4 linked regions of the Saccharomyces cerevisiae S288C genome follow. The protein of the gene in region 2 purifies or fractionates together with the protein of the main gene of each other region. This does not show direct contact. Each region holds a gene or a part of one and is shown on either strand. Other genes may lie near its edges. The genes, in order: NSA2, RPL3, NOP53 and YGR054W.

What was found.
Region 1: the proteins of RPL3 (region 2) and NSA2 purify together in Saccharomyces cerevisiae (affinity purification with western blotting; 4 studies listed by BioGRID, with this or other methods). This does not show direct contact.
Region 3: the proteins of RPL3 (region 2) and NOP53 purify together in Saccharomyces cerevisiae (affinity purification with mass spectrometry; 4 studies listed by BioGRID, with this or other methods). This does not show direct contact.
Region 4: the proteins of RPL3 (region 2) and YGR054W purify together in Saccharomyces cerevisiae (affinity purification with mass spectrometry; 3 studies listed by BioGRID). This does not show direct contact.

Annotation. Positions count from the first base shown.
Region 1 is NC_001137.3:411,891-416,842, reverse strand, and holds NSA2 (rRNA-processing protein NSA2), read left to right. Parts: upstream 1-2,663; coding exon 2,664-3,449; downstream 3,450-4,952. Other genes in the region: VFA1 (Vfa1p), read right to left, coding at 373-984; small subunit rRNA maturation protein LCP5, read right to left, coding at 1,289-2,362; RSP5 (NEDD4 family E3 ubiquitin-protein ligase), read right to left, coding at 4,225-4,952. UniProt on the Saccharomyces cerevisiae protein: Involved in the biogenesis of the 60S ribosomal subunit. May play a part in the quality control of pre-60S particles. Under normal, rapid growth conditions, high levels of NSA2 would allow the progression of pre-60S particles through the ITS2 processing.
Region 2 is NC_001147.6:442,081-447,572, reverse strand, and holds RPL3 (60S ribosomal protein uL3 RPL3), read right to left. Parts: upstream 2,888-5,492; coding exon 1,724-2,887; downstream 1-1,723. Other genes in the region: ubiquinol--cytochrome-c reductase catalytic subunit CYT1, read right to left, coding at 1-134; YNG1 (Yng1p), read left to right, coding at 835-1,494; YOR062C (uncharacterized protein), read left to right, coding at 4,042-4,848; casein kinase 2 catalytic subunit CKA2, read right to left, coding at 5,020-5,492. UniProt on the Saccharomyces cerevisiae protein: Component of the ribosome, a large ribonucleoprotein complex responsible for the synthesis of proteins in the cell.
Region 3 is NC_001148.4:273,550-279,218, forward strand, and holds NOP53 (Nop53p), read right to left. Parts: upstream 3,981-5,669; coding exon 2,613-3,980; downstream 1-2,612. Other genes in the region: ATP-binding cassette long-chain fatty acid transporter PXA1, read left to right, coding at 1-2,318; oxysterol-binding protein KES1, read right to left, coding at 4,846-5,669. UniProt on the Saccharomyces cerevisiae protein: Late-acting factor in the nuclear maturation of 60S ribosomal subunits, which is required for normal acquisition of export competence. Required for the export of the large subunit.
Region 4 is NC_001139.9:593,882-600,215, reverse strand, and holds YGR054W (translation initiation factor 2A), read right to left. Parts: upstream 3,524-6,334; coding exon 1,595-3,523; downstream 1-1,594. Other genes in the region: MUP1 (Mup1p), read right to left, coding at 1-799; MCO32 (Mco32p), read left to right, coding at 4,379-5,230; protein kinase FMP48, read right to left, coding at 5,511-6,334. UniProt on the Saccharomyces cerevisiae protein: Functions in the early steps of protein synthesis of a small number of specific mRNAs. Acts by directing the binding of methionyl-tRNAi to 40S ribosomal subunits.

The sequences.
Region 1 (4,952 bases), on a different chromosome or scaffold from region 2:
AGTAATACGTTAGCTTTCTACGCTCAGTGATGAATATGAAGGGAACGAAGGAACAAGCCGCTGTTAATTTGAAGTCGTTCAACGATGATTATTTAACTTGATGAAGCACCATTTGCCTGCTCTCAACAGCTTGTCAGAAATACAAACATCACTCACACTTTCTGCCTTCCCTGGAAAGAAAGAAAAAAATTAGCTACAATTTAGTCGCTTGATACGTGTTGATTTTATTTTGTGATCTTTAGAATGTGATGAGCATTTAGCTTTTGGTTACGAACCATGAATAGATAATCCATGGTGAGTTTTATATACTATATAATCAATAGTTCATGGGTATTAGGCCATAGGAAGAGGAACGGTCCAACCGTTGCGTCCTTATTTTGGAACGGAGGGGAACACGTGTTTTCGAAGCAGTTCTTCAGGATCCGTATTAGAGTAATTCTCTTGCTCCTTGAGGTATCGTTCGCGATTTACTTGTTCTGTTCTTTTTCTTAGGAGTCTGCTTTCAAACATGATTTTTGCTAGTTCGTATTTTCTGTTTTTCCTTTGCAGTTCTGTAACTTTGTCAAGTATTTTGCTGTACTGTTTCTTTGTTTCTGACAAGATTTCTGCATCGTTCTTAGCCTGTGGAGATGTATCAGTAGAGTCGGTTGTAGTTGGATCAGGGTCTTTAGAGTTATTTGTCTCCTTTTCTTTCTTGGAGAATATTTTAGTAACCCAACCATCCCAGGACCCTAATTGGGTTTGAGCTGATGTCAGACTATCCATTTTCCCCTTTACTAGTTTTAATTGAGCCACGGCTTCATTATACTCTGTACTATAGAGGGGAATGACAAATTGTGGATTATCTTGTAAATGTATTTCGCATGTATATAGCCAATCTGGACCAGATGCGTTGTAAAGGACGGTAGTGGATGGTTTGCTACAGATCGCACATGGTTGCATGTCCTTTAGAGCGACCTTTCTGGCAACGTACTCATTTATCATTGTATATATACTATATCGTGGCACTTCTGGTGTGCCTTATTCCCACTATATTGTTAATTTATGGCGATTTAGTCATGTTCTGCTTAGGACTATAAAAAAAAAAAAGAAAAAAAAAGGTAGAGTTTATTCTGGAGGGACTAATAATCATAAAGGCAATGGTGCCTAAACCTCTCACACGTTAATGTCGTGAAAGCCAAAATTCTTGTTTTTAATAGCTTATATACCAGTGCCCTTCATTTATATTTAACTTTTAAATATTAAGTCTATAAACGCTTTAGGATATAAGAAAATAAACTTTTTGTATCTACAGTCTCCTTTGAGCTCTATCCCAGGCAGAACGAGTCTTCTTGGCCCCACGTCTCGAAGTGCTATCTTCCAGCTTCCTCTTTGAGCTGAATATACCAAAATCTTCACCACCGATAACGTTCATCCTTGCATTTCTTTCTCGTTGCTTTTGCTTCCTTTTTTCAGCTTTATTTGTAATATTCAATCTGGTAAAATTATCTTCTTCGAATGAAGTGACTCTACGTTCCTTCTCTGTGTCTCTCAAAGATTTGATACCGCCTCTTCCATGGTTCACAATGTCAGCACCAATAGATGCACTCCAGTCCGGTTGGTCCGATGACTCTCTAATATATTCTTCCATGGCTTGCATACGCGATTTGTTACTACGATCTTTGTGTTCTCTGGCATCGAATCTATCTTCAAAATGCGTTTGTTGCGGTGGTAGAACAGCCGTAATCTTTGGTGGTTTATACACGCCAGTCTCATTGTCATCGTTTTCTTCCCCGTTTTCTTGCTTAGCCGTTTCCTCCACCCTGTATGCTGATGATTTTTTATTTGTGTTGATAATTCCAGAGGTATTTGGCCTGTATGCTATTTCATCCTCACTAGACTCATCATCTTCGCTATCGTCGTTGCCGCTATGATTCACTAAGGTAGATTTTTCCAGTGCACGCTTCTCAGCGTCTTTATATTCCTTTTCCATTTTCACATATGCTCTAGTCAGCTTGTCCAATTGGTAAGCCAACTTTTTTTCTAGTGGTTTAACACCACGCTCTAATACCACACGGTGTTGAATAGAGCGTTCACGTGCATCCATAGCAGAAGGATCTTTGCACTCGTCGTCTAGCCTATTGCCTATAAGCATCAATAGAGAATTTATGTACCCTAGCATGCTCCCATTTTTTAAGGATAGCAGCGATACTTTCTCAGCAGGCTTCTTAGCGTCGTAAAATAGATGCTCATGTAGTTGGTTACTTTCAGGAATCTCATCGGTCGCAGAATTACTATAAATCCCAGACAACCTCTCCAAGGATTCTGATGTCGCAGTGAGCGAGCCGTTGATATCTTTTAATAATGCATTAAGTTCAGACATTCTTGGATTTGTGTGTTAGTTGACAATTTTAATTTCTTCATCTCTTTTGACACTTTAGAATGGTATAGCTCATCGGTTTCTTTTCTTCAACCTTGCAGGAAAGGCGTAAAAAATTTTATGTCGTCGGCAACGGTTCTAGTAACAATCCGATGAAAAATTTTCCGGACAGCGATGAGATGCACTTTTAAGACAATTGAATGGATTAGGTATCAGTTAGAGAAGAACTTGGTTTTCGTATCTGGCGTTTTTATCTTTAGTCAGTAGTCAGTCTCGTATCAATACTGATATATACAACGAAACAATGCCTCAAAACGATTATATCGAGCGTCACATCAAACAGCATGGTAAAAGATTAGATCACGAAGAAAGGAAACGTAAGAGAGAGGCAAGAGAGTCTCATAAGATTTCTGAACGGGCCCAGAAGTTGACTGGTTGGAAGGGTAAGCAATTTGCTAAGAAGAGATATGCTGAAAAGGTATCAATGAGAAAGAAGATTAAGGCACATGAACAATCTAAGGTCAAGGGTTCATCCAAACCATTGGATACCGATGGTGATGCTTTGCCGACATATCTATTGGACAGAGAACAAAATAACACAGCCAAAGCTATTTCTTCATCGATCAAACAAAAGAGGTTGGAAAAAGCTGATAAGTTTTCAGTTCCGTTACCAAAGGTTCGTGGTATAAGTGAAGAAGAAATGTTCAAAGTTATTAAAACAGGTAAATCTAGATCCAAGTCATGGAAGAGAATGATAACGAAACACACTTTTGTGGGTGAAGGTTTCACTAGAAGACCAGTTAAAATGGAAAGAATCATCAGACCAAGTGCGTTGAGACAGAAAAAGGCAAACGTCACTCATCCGGAATTAGGTGTAACTGTCTTCTTGCCAATTTTGGCAGTTAAGAAGAATCCACAATCTCCAATGTACACTCAGTTAGGTGTTTTGACTAAAGGTACCATTATTGAAGTTAACGTTTCGGAATTGGGGATGGTTACTGCTGGTGGTAAAGTTGTCTGGGGTAAGTATGCTCAGGTCACAAACGAACCAGACAGAGACGGCTGTGTCAATGCGGTTTTGCTTGTATGAGCAAAAAAGTGCTCCGTTTTTTTTTTTTTTATCTCGATGGTTCAAATTAGGTTTACTTTTAATTTAATAATACGATATACGTCTACAAGCACAAAAGAACAGGTATATAAAAAATGTACGCTCTGTCCTGTTCGGGTTTCTCTTTTTACTTCTCGTCATTCTCTGTACAATATAACAAATCAAGAATTTATTATCCGGTTCTTTTTTCCTCACGACAAATAACCGATACTCTCCGTGTGTAGGTGACTGGCAAGAGAGGGATTGCCTAGTACGCTCGTTTCAAGTATGTACCTCACGAGAGCAATTTCAACTGTAGTATAATACCCAGGTCACTATTCAGTTTTAAAATGCAAGAAAATTAAAAAACAAAAAACGTATGGTTGTAAAAAGCAGGGCACATTATATGTATATAAATAAAAAAAAAAATTAATAAAATCTAAAAAGAGGATATAAAAAATAAGAGGCGTAAGGCAATATAAATTATTGGTATCATGCTCCTTTTGAAAAGGAAAACCTCCTCTTATGGCGAACTTGAAAAGAACTTTGCGTAATCATCAAAAAAAGCACTTCACGTTTTCCTGCATTTTCTTTGCTGCTTTCCATGTTGCTGTAAAAACAACAATGATTAATCATTTCATGAGCAACTCAGATAAAATTAACAAAAAAGAGTTTTCTCTTTACTATTGTTAGCTGAAATATAAAACAAGATGATTGAGGCAGAAAGAATGTTGGGAAAACGGACACCATAAATAAAAAAAAAATTGGTGCGGAATAATCATTCTTGACCAAACCCTATGGTTTCTTCCACGGCCAATGTTAGCTTCTGTTTCATGCTGTCATAATCAACGTATTGTGGCAAATCAACTCTGTTAAAACATGTGTGAGATTTTGGCAATTGTTGTACTTCACCAGCTTTTTCAATAGTGAATCTTCTTGGACCATCAGAGCCTTGCAAATCTTTAAACCCGTTGACAGGTATACGAGAAGTACCAGTGGTGAACTGCAATAAACGGGCTCTTTGTTCATTATCCCATTCACTGACACACTTCCAAAACCATTGAATGACCTCGTCTGACTCTTGGTAACCACGATAATCAGTGTGTTTCTTCCAATCTTCAATGTCAATTTCCGCAATACCACCGATCAATAGTTCTAGTTCACGCTCATCAAACACAGTTACTAAGTCTTCGGGGATTAATTCGTTAAAACCATCCATGAATGCCTTAAATTGTTCTTGAACTCTATCAACAATTCTCCATTGGGTATATAATTCGACATATTCTTTCTTATTACCATCAGTAACTTCAATATTTCTCCCATCTGGCTTCAAATCCACTGTTACAACTTCACCGAATCTTTCATCGTCGGCACTGAACGTCAGATCCAAGACACCATCTATACTATTCTCAAGCATCCAGTTTAATGAGTTATACACCTCTGCGTCAACACCTTCCATATCTTGCAATACGACTTTTTTACGTAGCATCATTTTGTAAAGTGCAC
Region 2 (5,492 bases):
CCGGCGGCAGCAACACCCGCTGTAACGAGCTTTTGAGTAAGCTTGCCAGATTTACTAGCAGCACCTGTTGCGGTAGAGTAGAAACTTTTCGAGAGGGTCCTTTGAGCCCAACGTTTAGATAGATTTGAAAACATTGTCAAATTAGTTATAACTTCCGCTTCTGAGAAAAAATAGTAGATGATATAGTGTAATGAAAATGCAAATTGTAAAATATTATTTTTCAGAACTAGTTCAAACTAATCAATTGAAGATATCACAAATGTGGGGAAATTCAATGAATGCTTTTTATCAAACTGGGGGAGTACTGGAAAAAATATTTAAGAAAAATAGTGTTACACTAATATAGAATATGGATTCTTTTTCTTTTTCTTTCTTGTCCTTAATATTTGAAGATAAAGTACAAAAATGTATAAAATGTTGCTTAACAAAGAAAGATTGTGAAACCGATGATTAATAAGAAAACGAATGGCCTCTACTAAAAGCTTAGATAGTCTATGGATCCAGTTGGACGTCTAACCTCGTTATTATTCAAATTGTTTATATACTAGAAAGAGCCCCCTTAGTATCTACGCAGGGTAAAGGCGCTCGACCCTCTCCACCAACCAAATCCTCGCATTTTTTGGCCGCCGGAAATACCGGCCGCCCATTACCAAGAAATCCGAGAAAAAAAAAATCTTCAGTCACGTGGCGCTCCGTCTTATTTCCGTCCTTATACAAACATTTGGGATTGGCTCACAGAACATCACAACAGCATCTGTGAAAGTCTTAATAGAACTGAAATGTATGATGCGCTAGCACATCCGCTTTACAAGGAAGTTTTTTTCGTCTACAGCAATGGAACATCTCGCCAACGAAAACTCGGATTCGGATATCAGGTACAGTTTCCTTAGCACTTTGGATCATTTACCATGTGAACTAATAAGATCTCTTCGACTGATGCAAACAATCGACTTATTCAAGAATGAAGAGGATGAGCCTGGTATGGAAAGGGCCTGTAGGGATCTGTTGCTGGTAGCGACTTATATTAATGATCTGGTCGATGATCAGATTCATTTCTTAAAGCAGCATAAGAAGGAACTAGAGATACAGAAGTCAGTGACAAAAAATTTCAACTCTTCGCTAGAGAATATCAAGTCGAAGTTGACGTTAGAAGAACCAGGAGCATATAAGGAGCCAAAACTGCTTTTAAAGATTAACTTGAAAAAGGCTAAATCGAGGGAAAGAAAAGAGAGCATAACTAGCCCCACAATTGGGATTAACCAGGGTGATGTAACAGAGGGTAATAATAATCAAGAGGAGGTTTATTGTTTCTGTAGGAATGTATCTTATGGGCCAATGGTGGCTTGTGATAATCCGGCTTGTCCCTTCGAGTGGTTCCATTATGGTTGCGTAGGCCTGAAACAAGCTCCCAAGGGCAAATGGTATTGTAGCAAAGATTGTAAGGAAATAGCAAACCAGAGGTCCAAGTCAAAACGGCAAAAAAGAAGAAAGTAAGCAATATAATGGACGGGTTTACATGTTTAAATATATGTACATGTATGTAGTCTTATACTTTCAAAACATAATCGCATGCGGGTCATCAAAATAAACCTCCATTTTGGACTTGGGAAAAAGAAAATTTGATTTAAACTGTTGTATGTAGCTAACAATACATAAAACTATTTAAATAAAATAGGAATAAGAATGCTCAATTAAAAAATGATTTATTTTCTAACAAAACTTCTTACAAGTCCTTCTTCAAAGTACCCATGAAAGCATGCTTTTCAGCTGGGGTTTGGAATCTACCCTTACCGAACTTAGAAGCAGTGTCAATCCACTTCAAGCTGACTTCTTCCAAAGCCTTTCTAGAAGTGTTGGTGTACAAAGACTTTCTCAAAGTAACAATTCTCTTTCTGTTACCTGGGATACAACCTTTAACCATGATGAAGTCGTTCTTAATTTCACCGTAGTGGACGAAACCACCCATTGGGGTAATAGTCTTCTTGGTTCTGTCGAAGCTGGTAGCACCGTTAGCTTCATCATCACCCTTACCGACTCTGTAAATCTTGTGGTTAATGGAGGTTCTGGAATGGTAACCTCTTTGACCAGCTCTGGCAACACTCCACATAACGTGGGCTGGATGCCAAGCACCAATACAAGCAACCTTTCTTAGACCTCTGTGAGTCTTTCTTGGCAATTTCTTAGTACCCCATCTGTGGGTAACACCTTCGAAACCGTGACCCTTGGTGACAGCAATAGCGTCAATCATTTCGTTTTGTTCAAAAACGCTGTCGACAGCAACAGTCTTTTCGAAATGTTCACGAGCCCAGTCAACCTTTTCAGAGATGGAACCACCGTTCAATTGGATTTCAGCCAAATGAGCCTTCTTTTGAGCCAATGGAGTCTTTCTGATTTGAGTGTGGACCAAAACTCTGACGACGGAAGCGTACTTCTTGATTCTAGCCAATTCTCTTTCAATACCAGCACCATCTTGAGCGTACTTGGCAGAGTATTTGGTGAAAGCCTTCTTCTTAGACTTGTACCAGTTCTTGTAGAATCTTCTCTTGACTTCGTCAGACAAATGTTCAGCCCAGACGGTGGTCAAAGATCTCAAACCTCTTGGGGTTTCGACGTAACCGACAACACCAACAACGACAACTGGTGGAGTGTCAACAACGGTGACAGCTTCGACAACTTCACGCTTGTGGAACTTAGAACCTGGTCTGTCCAAATCTCTGACAATGGTGGTCATACCAGCCTTGTAACCCAAGAAGGAAGTTAGAGCAACTGGCTTGGATCTGTCATCCTTTGGAAAAGCCTTAACTCTAGCTCTGATGGAGGCAGCTCTCTTTCTTGGCAAGAAACCTAAATGACCGTGACGTGGTGCTTCGTACTTTCTGTGAGACATGATTGATTGTTGTAGTAACTGTGTTGTTCTAGAGATGACAAAACCGAAATGAAATAATGAGTAAAGAAAGATGAGGATTGACAAAGACAACTAAATAAATCGTATTTTATATATCCAGGAAGCACGAAAGAGACAAATGAAAAATTTTTTTCATGGACGATGATCACTGAAAAAAAAAAAAAAAAAATGGAAAACAGTTGTGCGTCGCTTCTTGAAAAACGTACAAAACGATTACTATATTACTGTCCGGCCGGTTAACCTAAAAAAGAATATTGCCATTCATTCCAGTGTGCGTGAGTAGAGTTTAGTTTTTGCAACCAATGACTGCGAACAGGCAGCAAGTTTGCGAGTGCTTTCTTTCCCCCTATAAAGCTGTCTGAAATGCGTTAATCCCTCCACCTTTCCTCTTGCTGTTGCATTACCACTGAATTTAATAAATTGTTTGCATCATTTCTGTGTTGAGGACTTAACTTCCCGGCTTAGCAGCTGGTTTGTTCGCAATTATCGAGCAATTCTTGAACGTCTACTAAGGTTTGCACATTTCGTATACTTACTTTAGAATGATAACGTAAGTGGCTGATACGAGCGGCACTAACAGAATATACGATAAACTTCATTCACAAAAAAAAGCAGCAAGTGAAAAAGTGCTATTCTTGTTTGCCTTTGCCTACCTGTACGTAATGGCAGCAGACACGGCATCGATAAAATAGAAAAAGCCGGAAAAATACCAACATCCGTATCAAAGTATGTAGTGTCATTCACGTTTTCTGGGCGTTCTGGTGCATGCTCCCCGCATAAGATTACTTCTAGTTTTTCCGTCCTCCGGATTTTCTCTCGGGCTCCGATTTGCTGTCTCGGTCTAGTGTGCAGAGTTTAGAAAAGAGGGTAGAAAGTGTTTCTTTTTAAGGGGGATAGAGGCATAGTGAGAAATTGTCGGAAAAATATATTGATTTTCAGAACCTCAGAAGAACCTGAAGCAAAAGCTATCCCGCAGGAAAGGCCTCATGTTATGCAGGCGATAGGTGGAAGAATAGATTTTTGTCACAGATGTTATATATTATAAGAGGGAACATTTTCATATTAGCACTCTTTTGGCCAGTCTGAACAGGTCGAAAATCTCCAAGACTCTAACATATACTACCTTGTTAGTGAAAATGACTAGTTTAGATGACAGTGTGCTGACAAAAAAAAATATAGCACTATTAGACAACGCCACCAACTATATTCGCCCCGCCATAGATTATTTTCATTTCAAATTTAACTATGATAGCTTGGACGTGTCCACTACCTGGCGCTTGTTGCTGAAAATGCGCAAGCATAAATTATTAAGGTTACCCAGTTGCTCTTCTGAAAATGAGTTTGACTATAGCATATATATGGCTAGGTTGTATCATTGTATATGGAGGAGGTGGTCCATAAAGCACTTCAATTTAGATGAATACAAAATTGATCCACTAAGCATAAACTGGAATAAAGAAATAGACGTTACTGTTCTTTACGGACCTGATCTGGTTGGAATACATGAAAGAGAGCAACCTACTCCAACGGACTTTCCTATGGGGAATATAAAGGAACAAGGGAAGCAATTATTGGATGTAAGAAAGGAGGGAAGTGCTTCTTCATTGCTGAAAAAAGGCAGCGTATTTTACTCAAAAGGTAAATGGCTCTCTCAGCGTTCAATATCATTCGATGACACTGTTCGTAGGCGAGATATTGACAAACGTGGGAGATTTCGTGAATCATGTGTTCTAATAAATGATGTAGAACAATTCCAAAACTATTCCATTGTCTGGGACGAGAGTAGACATCGCTACCGTCGGCAGGCACTTCCAGACACGTACGATTACGAGCATCTCTATCCCAATGGCGACGAAACTCCTCGGAACACGCCTCACGACAATATAATAATTCATCAAAACTTGCATAGCATTACGGAAGGCTCTTATATCTATATAAAGTGATTTTCTGGTCATATAATAATCTACATTCGTTGTTAAATAGAGTTTGCAATTTAATATTCACATTAAGGATATTCTCTAATATCAAGCTACAAAAAAGGAAAACCCCTGCTTTTTATAAATGGAAATCAGTGGTGGAAAAAGAATTGCCTTGCTAAGAGTATTGTTGTCCAATTATTCAAACTTCGTTTTGAAAAACTTATGATCCATAGCCTCCTTTGCTGTTAATCTTTCTTGATGGTCATACCTTAATAAATTGTCGATTAAATCAACCACTTCAGGAACAGCTAATTTGGTCTCGGAGGTTATAAAGTGTGTCCACGATTTTTTTGTAAAGTCTCTCATAATGTTGTCGTATTCAGATGGTAAGTGCAACCCGTACTTACCCAAATAGCCTAACAGTTCCTTGGTTCCTAGTACTGTGGCAATCTTTACCAGTTGATCTGGATTAGACGACCCTTTGAAAAAAGGTTCTTTTTTGAAGACAATAGCTGCTAGCATGCATCCTACTGACCATAAGTCTAGGGAGTAGTCATATTGGTTCAAGTTTACTAAAAGTTCTGGTCCCTTGTGGTAACGCGAAGCGACACGAACGTTGTAATCTACACCTGGATGGTAGAACTCCGCCAGGCCCCAATCGATCAGCC
Region 3 (5,669 bases), on a different chromosome or scaffold from region 2:
GAAGGAATAGGAGACCTTTAATAAGAAGAACAAGATCTCAAATGCAATTAGACAGTGGTGCAAGAATAATGTATATTCCTGAAGTGGAATTAGTCGACCGCCAGAGTCCCGATGACAACAAATTTATGAATGCTACAGATAAAAAAAAAAGGAAAAGGATATTTATTCCACCAAAGGATAACGATGTATATGAACACGATAAGTTTCTTTTTAAAAATGTAGAACTGGAAAGAGCCAAGAATTCGCAGTTATTCTACTCAAAATTTTTAAACCAAATGAACGTCTTGTCTAAAATTTTAATTCCAACAGTTTTTGACAAAAACTTTCTTCTTTTAACTGCTCAAATTTTTTTCCTGGTGATGAGAACTTGGCTCTCTTTGTTTGTAGCCAAGCTGGATGGACAAATAGTCAAAAATATAATTGCTGGTAGAGGAAGAAGCTTTCTGTGGGACTTAGGGTGTTGGTTTTTAATTGCTGTCCCTGCTTCTTATACTAATAGTGCTATTAAGCTACTTCAAAGGAAGTTGAGTTTAAACTTTAGGGTAAATTTGACACGTTACATCCATGACATGTATTTGGATAAAAGACTAACATTTTACAAATTAATTTTTGATGCAAAGGCGTCCAATTCGGTAATCAAGAATATCGACAACTCCATTACTAATGATGTTGCAAAATTTTGCGATGCGACATGCTCCGTTTTTGCAAACATTGCAAAGCCAGTTATTGATTTAATATTCTTTTCGGTTTATTTACGTGATAATTTGGGAACTGTGGGAGTAGCAGGTATATTTGTTAATTATTTCATTACTGGGTTTATTTTGAGGAAATACACGCCACCATTAGGTAAATTGGCAGGCGAGAGATCTGCTTCAGACGGCGATTACTACAATTATCATCTAAACATGATAAATAATAGCGAAGAGATCGCATTTTACCAAGGAACAGCAGTGGAAAGGACGAAAGTTAAAGAGTTGTATGATGTGCTGATGGAAAAAATGCTGCTGGTTGATAAAGTCAAGTTTGGTTACAATATGTTGGAAGACTATGTTTTAAAATATACATGGTCCGGTTTGGGTTATGTTTTTGCCTCAATCCCTATCGTTATGTCTACCTTAGCGACAGGCATCAATTCAGAGGAAAAAAATATGAAGGAATTTATAGTCAACAAAAGGTTGATGTTGTCGCTTGCAGATGCAGGCTCGAGATTGATGCATTCGATAAAGGACATCTCACAATTGACCGGCTACACTAATAGGATATTTACTCTGCTTTCCGTCTTACACAGGGTTCACTCTCTGAACTTTAATTACGGCGCTGTTCCTTCAATCCTGTCAATACGTACAGAAGACGCTTCCAGAAATTCCAACTTATTACCCACCACGGATAATTCGCAAGATGCTATTCGTGGTACTATTCAACGCAATTTTAACGGTATTCGGTTAGAAAATATAGACGTAATCATTCCATCAGTAAGGGCGAGCGAAGGCATAAAGCTGATTAACAAGCTTACATTTCAAATTCCTTTGCATATTGACCCAATAACTTCAAAGTCCAATTCTATACAAGACTTATCGAAGGCAAATGATATAAAGTTACCATTTTTGCAGGGTTCTGGCTCCAGCCTGTTAATATTAGGGCCAAATGGTTGCGGTAAAAGTTCAATTCAACGCATTATAGCTGAAATATGGCCAGTGTATAACAAAAATGGATTATTGTCGATTCCTTCAGAAAATAATATTTTTTTTATTCCTCAGAAACCATATTTTAGTAGAGGTGGAACTTTAAGAGACCAAATTATATACCCCATGTCCTCGGATGAATTCTTTGATAGGGGGTTTAGAGATAAGGAGCTAGTACAGATATTAGTCGAAGTGAAACTAGATTATCTTTTAAAAAGAGGCGTTGGCTTAACTTACCTAGATGCCATTGCCGATTGGAAGGACTTATTAAGTGGTGGTGAAAAGCAAAGAGTAAATTTTGCTAGAATCATGTTTCATAAACCACTATACGTAGTATTAGATGAGGCTACAAACGCAATTAGTGTTGACATGGAAGACTATCTGTTCAATCTTTTAAAACGATACAGATTCAATTTCATTTCCATATCACAAAGACCCACATTAATCAAATATCATGAAATGTTACTAGAGATCGGTGAAAATCGAGATGGCAAATGGCAATTACAGGCAGTTGGTACCGATGAAGCAATCACGTCGATTGACAACGAGATTGAGGAATTGGAGAGAAAACTAGAAAGAGTAAAAGGTTGGGAAGATGAGAGGACGAAGCTACGGGAAAAGCTTGAAATTATTTGAAAACACCCTAGAAAGGGAGAGATTTTATTTAGCGAATATAATTTATATATTATTTCCGTAACTGAATTTGTACTTTTGAATGTTTAACTGATATCTAGAGATATCGACATGGGAATGCCCTCTCAAACTAGAAAAGGGCAGAGAACGAAAAGAAAATGAAACAATTTGTTACCTACTATACAGTTGTTGGTCTTGCCAACACAAATATGAACATATATATATATATCTCACTTGATGAATCCACGTATCAAGGACAACCTTTTCATGGAAACATATACTGTAAAACAAAAAACTCTATTTGAAGTCCTTATGTGTCCACTTTTCAGTGATTTTCTGCTTATACTTTCTACCTTTCCTAACGGGCACTCTTGTTTCGACCTTACCAGAACTTTGTAGTTTTCTCACAGTATCATATAGCAGATTTCCTTCAGGTTTCAGTTTTCTCAATGAGTCAGATAATTCGTCAGAAAATTTAATCTCCAATCTTTCATCAATCACAGAGTATTTCGTCCCTAACTTGTGTTTCTTATTTTTCTTGCTTTTTTTAACCTTGTTGCTATCTGACTCTATGGCTGAAAGTATCTCAGTCTCTTCAGAATTGATAACTTCTTCTAAATCTTTAACACGTTGTCTCAATTCTTTCAACTCTTGTTGCAATTTTACTTTCTCTTCATGTCTCTTTGCCTTGTTTCTTTGATATTTTGTTTTCTTTTTATTCTTCACAGGCTTATTTATTGATAGTTTTATTTCCTTATCAGATCCACTACATTGCGTACTTTCATTTTCATTTTCATTTTCTTCTTCTTCTTCTTCTTCTTCTTCGTTTGATGAAGACTCTTCCTCTTCATTGTCATCTAAAGTTTCCATTAAATGTCTAATTCTTTCTTTGTACTTTTCCAAGGCGATTCTTTCATCTTCTCTTGCCTTTTCCTCTTTATACTCTTTGTTTATCAATTCTGACCAAGCTTTATTGTTGGGATTGTAGGATTTACCAGCATGTGGAATTTCTGTGAATTCTTTTACTGCAATTGGCTCTATATCTAAAGTACTTGGTCTGACTGAAGCAGTAGACCAACTTGTCGTGGATTTTTTCAATAGTTCTTCAGGTATCTGGTCCTTTTTTTCCACATCAAGTTTGATACCGGAAGGTAATTTGACCTTCTGTTTCTTTGAATTGGATTCTTCACCCCATAAGTCGCCAGCCGTTGTTTTAACTAGACCGTCTTTGGCAACTCTATTCTTGATCTTCGATTCGCCGTGTACTCTGCCAGCCAAAGCCATTAATTTCTTTAATTCGTGTTTAGAAACACCTTGAATCTTATTAGGATTTCCACTACTATTCTTATGGTGATTTAGTGCTGCAATTTTTGAATTCGTTTTAACGGCGTCTAAAATCTCTTTACTTTTTAGAACCTTCTTAATTTGTTTCCTTTTAATTAATTTATTTTTCAATATCTCATCACCCTCAACATCAACATGAAAAAGAGCATCATTTTGCAAAGAGGTTATATCACTGGTACCATGCGTAATTTCATGATCAATTTTCTTTTCCATATATTGTTCTACGTCAGATAAATCGATATTTTTTCTCCATGCTTTCTTACCCTTTCTTGAAGACTGTTTGTATTGAGATGGTTTCTTGGTTAGATTAGTTGGAGCCATTTTTAAATAAATGATTCATTAACGTGAGGATGGTATGGATCACAAGAAAGCCGAACTAATAGCATAAGTTGTAATGTAAGGACCCCATCGCATTTTTATTGCTCTTTTCTTTTTTAGAAGTGAAAAAGCTCGGGCACGGAAAATTTTTTGATGGAATTATAGAATTTCGTCAAATATGACTGTATTCTCTCAGAGCACACCTGTTAGGTAATACGCAATATTATGATAATATTACTTTAGTACTTGGCGTTAGCCTCTTGTGTTTCATTGTTATGGAGTGATAAAACAGGCCTATGGTTCGATAAGCGTACAGATTTTGGGATATACCATAAACTTTGTATAGAAAGTGTTGTATAAGTGCATATACTCCATCGATTATGTGGTTCTACAAAATTGACATAAGAAAATTAGAGAGTTATAAAAAAGACAAAAGTGAGGATATCAACAGAGAAGATAAAATATAGTAATAGGTTGTAAATAATAACAAAACTTGCATGAAAACTTGGTAAACTTCAAATTTTAACCTTCGTATGATGATTAAAAAGGATATGACATCATGAGAAAAAAATGAGCGATCTGTCTATCAATAATTAAAGGAAGAAGTAGAAATAGATAAAGGTTTTTTCTGCTTCATCTTTAACAGCAATATAGCATATTCTTGTGGTTCGAAAGAATAAATTCTAGTCATTATAGTGAAAAGAGAACAAAACAATATAAGATTTAGGGGATGGTAAAAATGATTTCTTAGTTCCTCTAATGATTTCATATCCTTTCCTGTCACATGAAGAGAAAAAGGAAGGAAAAAGAAGAAAAGATAGATAATATATTAGTGCAACGGTAACAAGTTGTTACTTTATCGTTCTCCTTACAAAACAATTTCCTTTTCTTCGTCCCACAACTCTCTTTGGAATCTCCAATGAATGGATGAAAGATCCTCCTTCCTGTCTTCTTTGTCACCCACCAAAGTACCACTTGGAGCATTCTTCGTTGATAAATTTAGAGCAGAGGCGAGTTTTAAGAAAGTGTCATCCTTTTCAGGTACAAGGGCGCCTTCTTCGGGCGTGACAGAGTAGTCAAAATCTTTGAACCATCTTCTTTGCCAGCTAATGCCTTTAGCTTCTTCCTCTTTTCTCAATTCTCTTTGCGTTTCTTCCAATTCAGTTTTCGTTTTGGCAATTAAGTTAAAATCGCCTAATTTGATGGCACCAGCCACGTCGTACCAGGCTTTTCTACTTTCCAGTGGGTGTTGCTCCTCCAAAGGCTTGACATTCAGATGTTCAGCAGGGATTCTAGCAGCATCGTAAAATAATCGTGATTCTTCTTTCTTATTTGCCTTGATTATTTTAGAAGAGCCAGACCATTGGCCTGATATTGTGTATAATGCCTTTTCCTTGTCCTTGCTATCTTTAGAGTCTTTGTAAATTCTTGCCTTGAATGAATTCTTTTTACCAGAAAAGTAGCCTCTACCTGAAAATTCAATAACACAAAGTAGACCTGTCGAAGATTGGATATATGATTTTCCTTCCAATTCAACAAAGGGAGAAGCGACAAGAATACCTTCAATATGCAATGGAGGTGGGGTAACCAAATAACTCTCATCCTTAATATCCAACATAGTGTGACCAAATTGTTTAACAGTCAGCATTAAGGATTTAGTGAAACTGGCTTTAATTTGGTTGTAGCCTTGCA
Region 4 (6,334 bases), on a different chromosome or scaffold from region 2:
ACGACCAAATAACACTATATAAGGCGTTAACAATACCATAAGCAGTGGCGGTTTCAGTACCTTCAAAAGCATTACGAAAGTTGTGAGATTGATAACCATCTTTGAGACCACCGCCAAGGGCAACCCAACCGGTAATAGAAATGAAGAGGACAATACCAATCTTGAAAATACCTAAAATGTTTTGCAAATATAGACCAATCTTGACATTCAGAGAATTAATTAGGAATGCAAAAAAAACGACGGCCACACCAATACCTCTTTGATTCCATTTGGTCACTTCAGTATCAGCAGCAGTTAAAAACATAATAGCTGTATTGATGGAATTACCAGCAGCCCAACCTAGGAAGAAAATATACGCAGCATACATACAGGTAATGAAGAATTTTGGTTTCCTGAAAATAGCCTCCAGGTAGTTTTTTTCACCACCATTTTTCGGTATAGCCGTACCGAATTCCATGTATACATATAACCCAGAAATGGCAATAATGGCGCCAACTGCCCACATAATTAATGCAAGCCCCACAGACCCACATAGTGTGTAAATGGTCGAGGAAACGGCGAAAACACCGGTACCAAGCATTCTATTACAGATAAGCCCAATACACGACAAAATACCTAACTGCTTTTCACCTTGGTCCAATTCTGTAGCAAATTGCTGGCCTGCCTCAAAATCGGAGGCACCGTTGTCAGCATCCACTGTCGAGTTACTTACTTCCTTTTTTGTAGTAGAAGAAGAAAATTGATAGTTCTCCTTGTTGAAGACATTCAACTGTGACAGAAACGTTCTTCCTTCCGACATTGCTCCGCCTTTGTTTTCTCTTCTCTTGTCTTTAAAGATTTCTACAGAATGTGAAACTAATCCAAAAACAAAATATGATGAACAGCGGAAAAGTTTGTGTGAGAATCATCCTTATATATATATACTGTATGTAATCTTACATCACCATATGAAAATAACGGGCTGACTCAAGAAATTCACCGCCAAGTAGGAGGAACCACATTTGTAATGCAAGACTGTGTTATGTGTTACCATGGTGTGCAATAACTGCGAAGGTAGCACCGCTTGAGTCAACTGTGGCAGTTTATTAGATGCCACTCGAGTGTGGTGAACGGCAATTCCACAGTCTAACTTTTCAGTTGGCGCCGTGCCATCTCCTGGCTGCTAGGCCGATCTGTTATACAAAACCCTACACGGCGCCGTTTCTTTTTTTTTTTTCTTTTTCTGTGGCAAAGCGGCGACAGCGACGCTAAAAAAAACTGTGGTGGCGGATGCAGCGCCGGCTTACGGAGCCGAAGTGACACTCCATATTCATTTATTGCCTGGCGGTATCGTGGCATACATTGTAAGATGCGGCTGGTGGCAATCCGCCAAGAAGAGACGTAAAAATAAGGAAAATGCTCACTAATTATGTATGTATCAATTACTATTTGATGTTAAAAAAATATGTGGAAAAGTACAATAAAACAAGGGAAAAAAAGAAAGGGGGGAGGTTGGCGTAATTCTCCTGGGAAACAGTAAAAAACAATTCAAAGTAGTATTATTTGACGTTGTTAATATTTACACAGTTGTATGGATACATCAGTTTCTTCTAGTTTATTCATCCTTCCAACCCAACTTTTCCAAATCTTTCAACACTTTTTCTTCAGTTTGAATTTTTAGAACTTGCGTATCTTCTAGTTTGTCACCGACGGCCTGTCTTTCCTTCAAGGTTTCAATAGCCCTTAATTTCTTTAGTAAAGATCTTATTTTCTTCTCCTCTGGAGAAGTTTCTTTATTGTTTGTGGGGGCATTTGTGGAGGCAGGAGCAGATGGGGCCGGAGTAGAATCAGGTGACGTTTCACTTGACTTTTTATTGGCTCTTCTTCTCCTGTTCTTGGTGTTGGCGTCCTTGTTGGCACTCATGCCCGGAACTAGCCCTGGGATGGTCTTCTTTGCTGCACCAGGAGGAACTCCGGGGACAATACGTCCACCGCCTGTTCTTCTTGCGTGAGGTGGTTTATAAGCGCCTCCAGCTTTGGCCTTAGATCCGTTTCCATTGGAGCTTGCTTCTCTGCTTGGGTGTTGACTTATGTACTCTTGAACGCTAGAATGTATTTGCAATTCTGATTTATTGGATATTTTAGGATCAAGTGAAGATGTGGTCGAATCAGGTAGCGGTTCCCAGTTATTAATGATATGGTTCTCGAAAAATGCTTCGTCTTTGTTTTCCAAAGTTTTGTAATTACATGGTGACCTCCAGTCTACCTTCAAAAGCTCCTTGAACTCTTTAACAAATACTAAAGAGCCTGATACATGCCATATTTTAACGCCGTTATCCACTCTCAATCTTGGTGAAGTGGTAGCTGTCATGATAAATTCTCCACCCGGTGACCATTTGCAGACAGAAGTGTTGGTAGCGTCAAATTTACTCACACACTTGAATTTGTCGAGACGATCTAGGATTTCCACGGAGCCCTGTAAATTACCAAACCCGGCGATAAGAATGTAATGACCAGAGGGAGAGAAAAGCATGGTATTTTTGGCTTGTTGAGGTAATGAATGGACAACATTACCTCTTAAGTCAAAAAAGGAAATGGTTGCTGGCATGTAACCAGCGATGACACCGAATTGCCTTGAAGTTGGCGACCAAGTGAAATCGTGGACAGGTCCAGTGGTTAAAGAAACACGTACAGAGTTACCACCCAAAGTCCCGTTGACACCTTGGAAAGACAGTAAGTATAGTGTGTTTTCACCATAATATGATTTGTTTGAGGAATCAAAATCAGTAATAGCTAAACATAAAATAGCATTACCTAATGGATTCCATTTCAATTGGCAGGAATCAGCTTTAAAGAAAGTTTTGGAGGCAATTTTCTTGGTGATTTTACCTTCAGAGAGGGCCCATATGATTAATTGAGCCGGTTTACCACCCTTTTCTGGTGTGAAAGTACAAATTGTTGGATGTTCAGCTGGAGAGATTAGGTAGGTGGTGAAATGTTGGGACGTTTCATCATCAGACAAGACAGCAAACGGAGATTGGAAGTCGAAATTGTCGGCATTAGCGGAGCTTAATTTAACAATCTTCAAGTCGTGTTTAAAAAGTCTTAGCCCATAATTGTCTAATTTGGAGAATTGTAAAAACCAACCGCTTTGGGATTTGGCTTGATATTCGTAAGCAGGGACTATATCCTCCGAAACGCAATCTTTCTTAAATGGTTTATTCAAATACCAAACTTTAACGTTCTTGTGATTTGGGTCTTGTATAGACGCTCTCTCCCAAGTGCTTAAGTAGTTACCTGCTGGAGAGAAGTGTAGGTCATAGACGTCGGACAACTTCATTGTTAATAGAACGTTATCCAAACATGGACCTGTAAAAACTTTGACGTTCTCCTTCGTAGATAAAGCCAAAAATCTGCCACATGGCGATAAAACCGAGGAAATGACAGGGAAATCCTTGGAGTTTGTGTTGGATTGCTCAAAAGTTGGGTAGCTTTGGAAGAGCTCTATATCCTGAGAGGTTTTCAGGAAAAACTGAGATGACATAATGTTTAGGTGTTATTGAACCTGACTGTTTGTTGTAGTACTATGTTTTTTTATCGAGATGCAATGGATAGTTTAAACACAACACGTCTCAATCAACACTAAAGAAAGTTATGATTCGGTAATCTATAGGTTGCTTCTACCGTAAAGAATTCTCGCTATGTCTAGTCGTCTGGATAGATCGAGGAAAAGGAATCTTCATTGAATAACGTACACTGAAAATAAATCGCTATGAAGCTGAAATTTCATTGATGGACATGAAGAAAGCGAAGTGAAAAAAAGGAAGAAAAAGAAAGTATTGAGGAACATTCTGCGGTCGGGTAATAATATCGTACAGTATGACAGCGGCAATTTTTAATAATATTTCTGCTCACTAATAAAGTAAAGAATATAAAGAAAGGACCTTAATCTAAGATAGATGTTACTTTTTCATCTTGCAGTTTTAACACATAGAACCGAGTCTAAACATATTGAAATATTTCGATTTCTTTTGTACGAGTGCTATAAAAATGGGAAAGAACTAAAAAAAATAGGACACAACATTAACTGCCTGAGTTTCTTGAGGAAAATATTAAAAGAAATATTAGTTAAATAAATAGATTTGGTGAGATGTATTTCTATACACTGAAAGACATTCATACGCATCTCATGATGAGTCGAGCGCCTTGCGTTAAGAAGGCGCGTAGTTACGGTTACGAAAAAAATGAATAGAATACAATGTAGAGAGCGCCCTTAAAAGGCCCATAAAGAGGGATGACAGGTATGAGCCATAAAGCTGCAAGCCTCTACGGAAAACGATACATCACAACCAAGGAAAGATAGACAGTTTATATTCATAGATAATAGGGGGAAAGACTTATGTTACTAAAGTGTGTTTGCAGAGCCGGCATAATATCTATCAAAGGAATCTTTCCTCGATGGTACTCCAATTCTCAAAAAGTGGCCAATTTGGGGCAAATAACAGATTATTTAGTGGTTAAAGGTGTTCCCAATTTGTTACAAAAAATGTTCAAGGAGTCAGTGTTGGCGGATAACGTTGTTTTTAGACTATTTCCAACATCGCATCCATATATTCCAGTGTTACATGGAAAATCAAAATACATGGCTTCTTTGAATGCAATGCGAATGATAGTACGAAAGTTTATCTTGGGCGATGAATGTCGCTTGCATATAAGTTCAGTAAAGACTCTAACATCGACATCGCATGATGAAGAAGTTAAATCTGCTCTTCAGAGTTATAATACCATAACATGTAATGACAAATTGGTGATCAAATGGCAAAGCTGCATACCGGAAGACCATTGCAAGATTACCAAATTAGAAATTAATGACAGATTGAAAGAGGAGAAACGAGGCAATGGTGCAGGCGGTTCATTTTCAATGAGGTCGGTACCAGTCATAGACTACATTTTACATCCTACAGCCAATAATTTGAACCAAAGTGTTATCTCTGAGTACCTTGAAAATGCAGCTGAAAGGTCAATGGAAAATAAGGTCAACGAAACTCAAAATTCCAAAGAAGATGAGAAGAAGAAAAATGATGGCGACGGTAAAAGAAGTAAAAAAAAGAGATTATCCCGGCTGATTAAGGGAACATTCATATTCGAATTTAACGAAGAAAATTCGAAAATTCTGGTTCATACCATTGAAGATGTTGAACTGATCCATTACGAGAAGAAAATTGCCACTCGCGGTGCATTTGCATGTTAATACGATATACAAGAATTAGATAGCATCTTTATTTGTAAATAATAAACACACCATCATAAACATCACCATCAACCTTGCACAGGAGAAAAAAGGAATAAAAAGGATAAATTGATTATGATTATTTTTTAAAAAAATGAATATGTAATATTATTTTATGTCGATTAGGTAGTATGTAATACTGAAATTATGCCAAAGTTCCTAACTAAAATTGGATAAGCAGGGGATAAAAAGTCAGATCAAGGAAAATGAGGCGAAACTTTCAAAAGGTCTTTTTTACTTCTTATTTTCCATCTTGAATTAGGCAAGGTTTCTCAAAATTTTTCAATTGGAACTTTGCTGGTACTGTTTCCGTGTTCACAGACCACTGTTCCCAAAACAGATCAATCTTATTTTGGTACGAGAAGCAGCTGTCCATCGAGCTATCTTTGTTCCATGCAGAATCAACTTCATTGATGAAATTCTCCATCGACCTCTCTTTAGCGTTCGATACCTTTAATAAGGTATCAACCATAATCTTGCACAAATGGAAGACATCATAAATGTCGGGTAGATCTTGCCATATGTACTGCCTCGTATGCTGCAGGCTAACGTGTAGGTCTTCTTCATCATTGTAACCACAGGAGAGCCTTGGTACTACGTATTTCCTGTAAATGAATGCAAATGGATCTTTTTCAAACTCATCGAAATTTTTTAGATGCTGAACCTTCTTTGATTTGGAGACTCTAAAAAGGCAATCGCCGAACATCAGATAAAATATGGTGGCACCCAATGACCAATAGTCAGCTTGGTATGTGTTATACAATGGAGCCGATGACCGATCGAAATTCTTCTTAAAACAAGAGTTACTAACGCGGCCAGAGAAAGTTTCTGGCGCCCTGTAATTATCGGTACCAATCTGGAAGTCGTTAGATTTAGGGGATTGGATAGCGTGACCCCAGTCTGCCAACTTGATGTCACCATTTATCGTTAGCAAAATATTTTCTGGTTTGATATCACGATGAGCAATACCCAAGCTGTGAGCAAAGCTGATTGCTGAGCACAGTTGTTTGATTATCTTTTGCATATCAATTTGAATCAAAGATGGAGACGACGGGCTACCTTGAC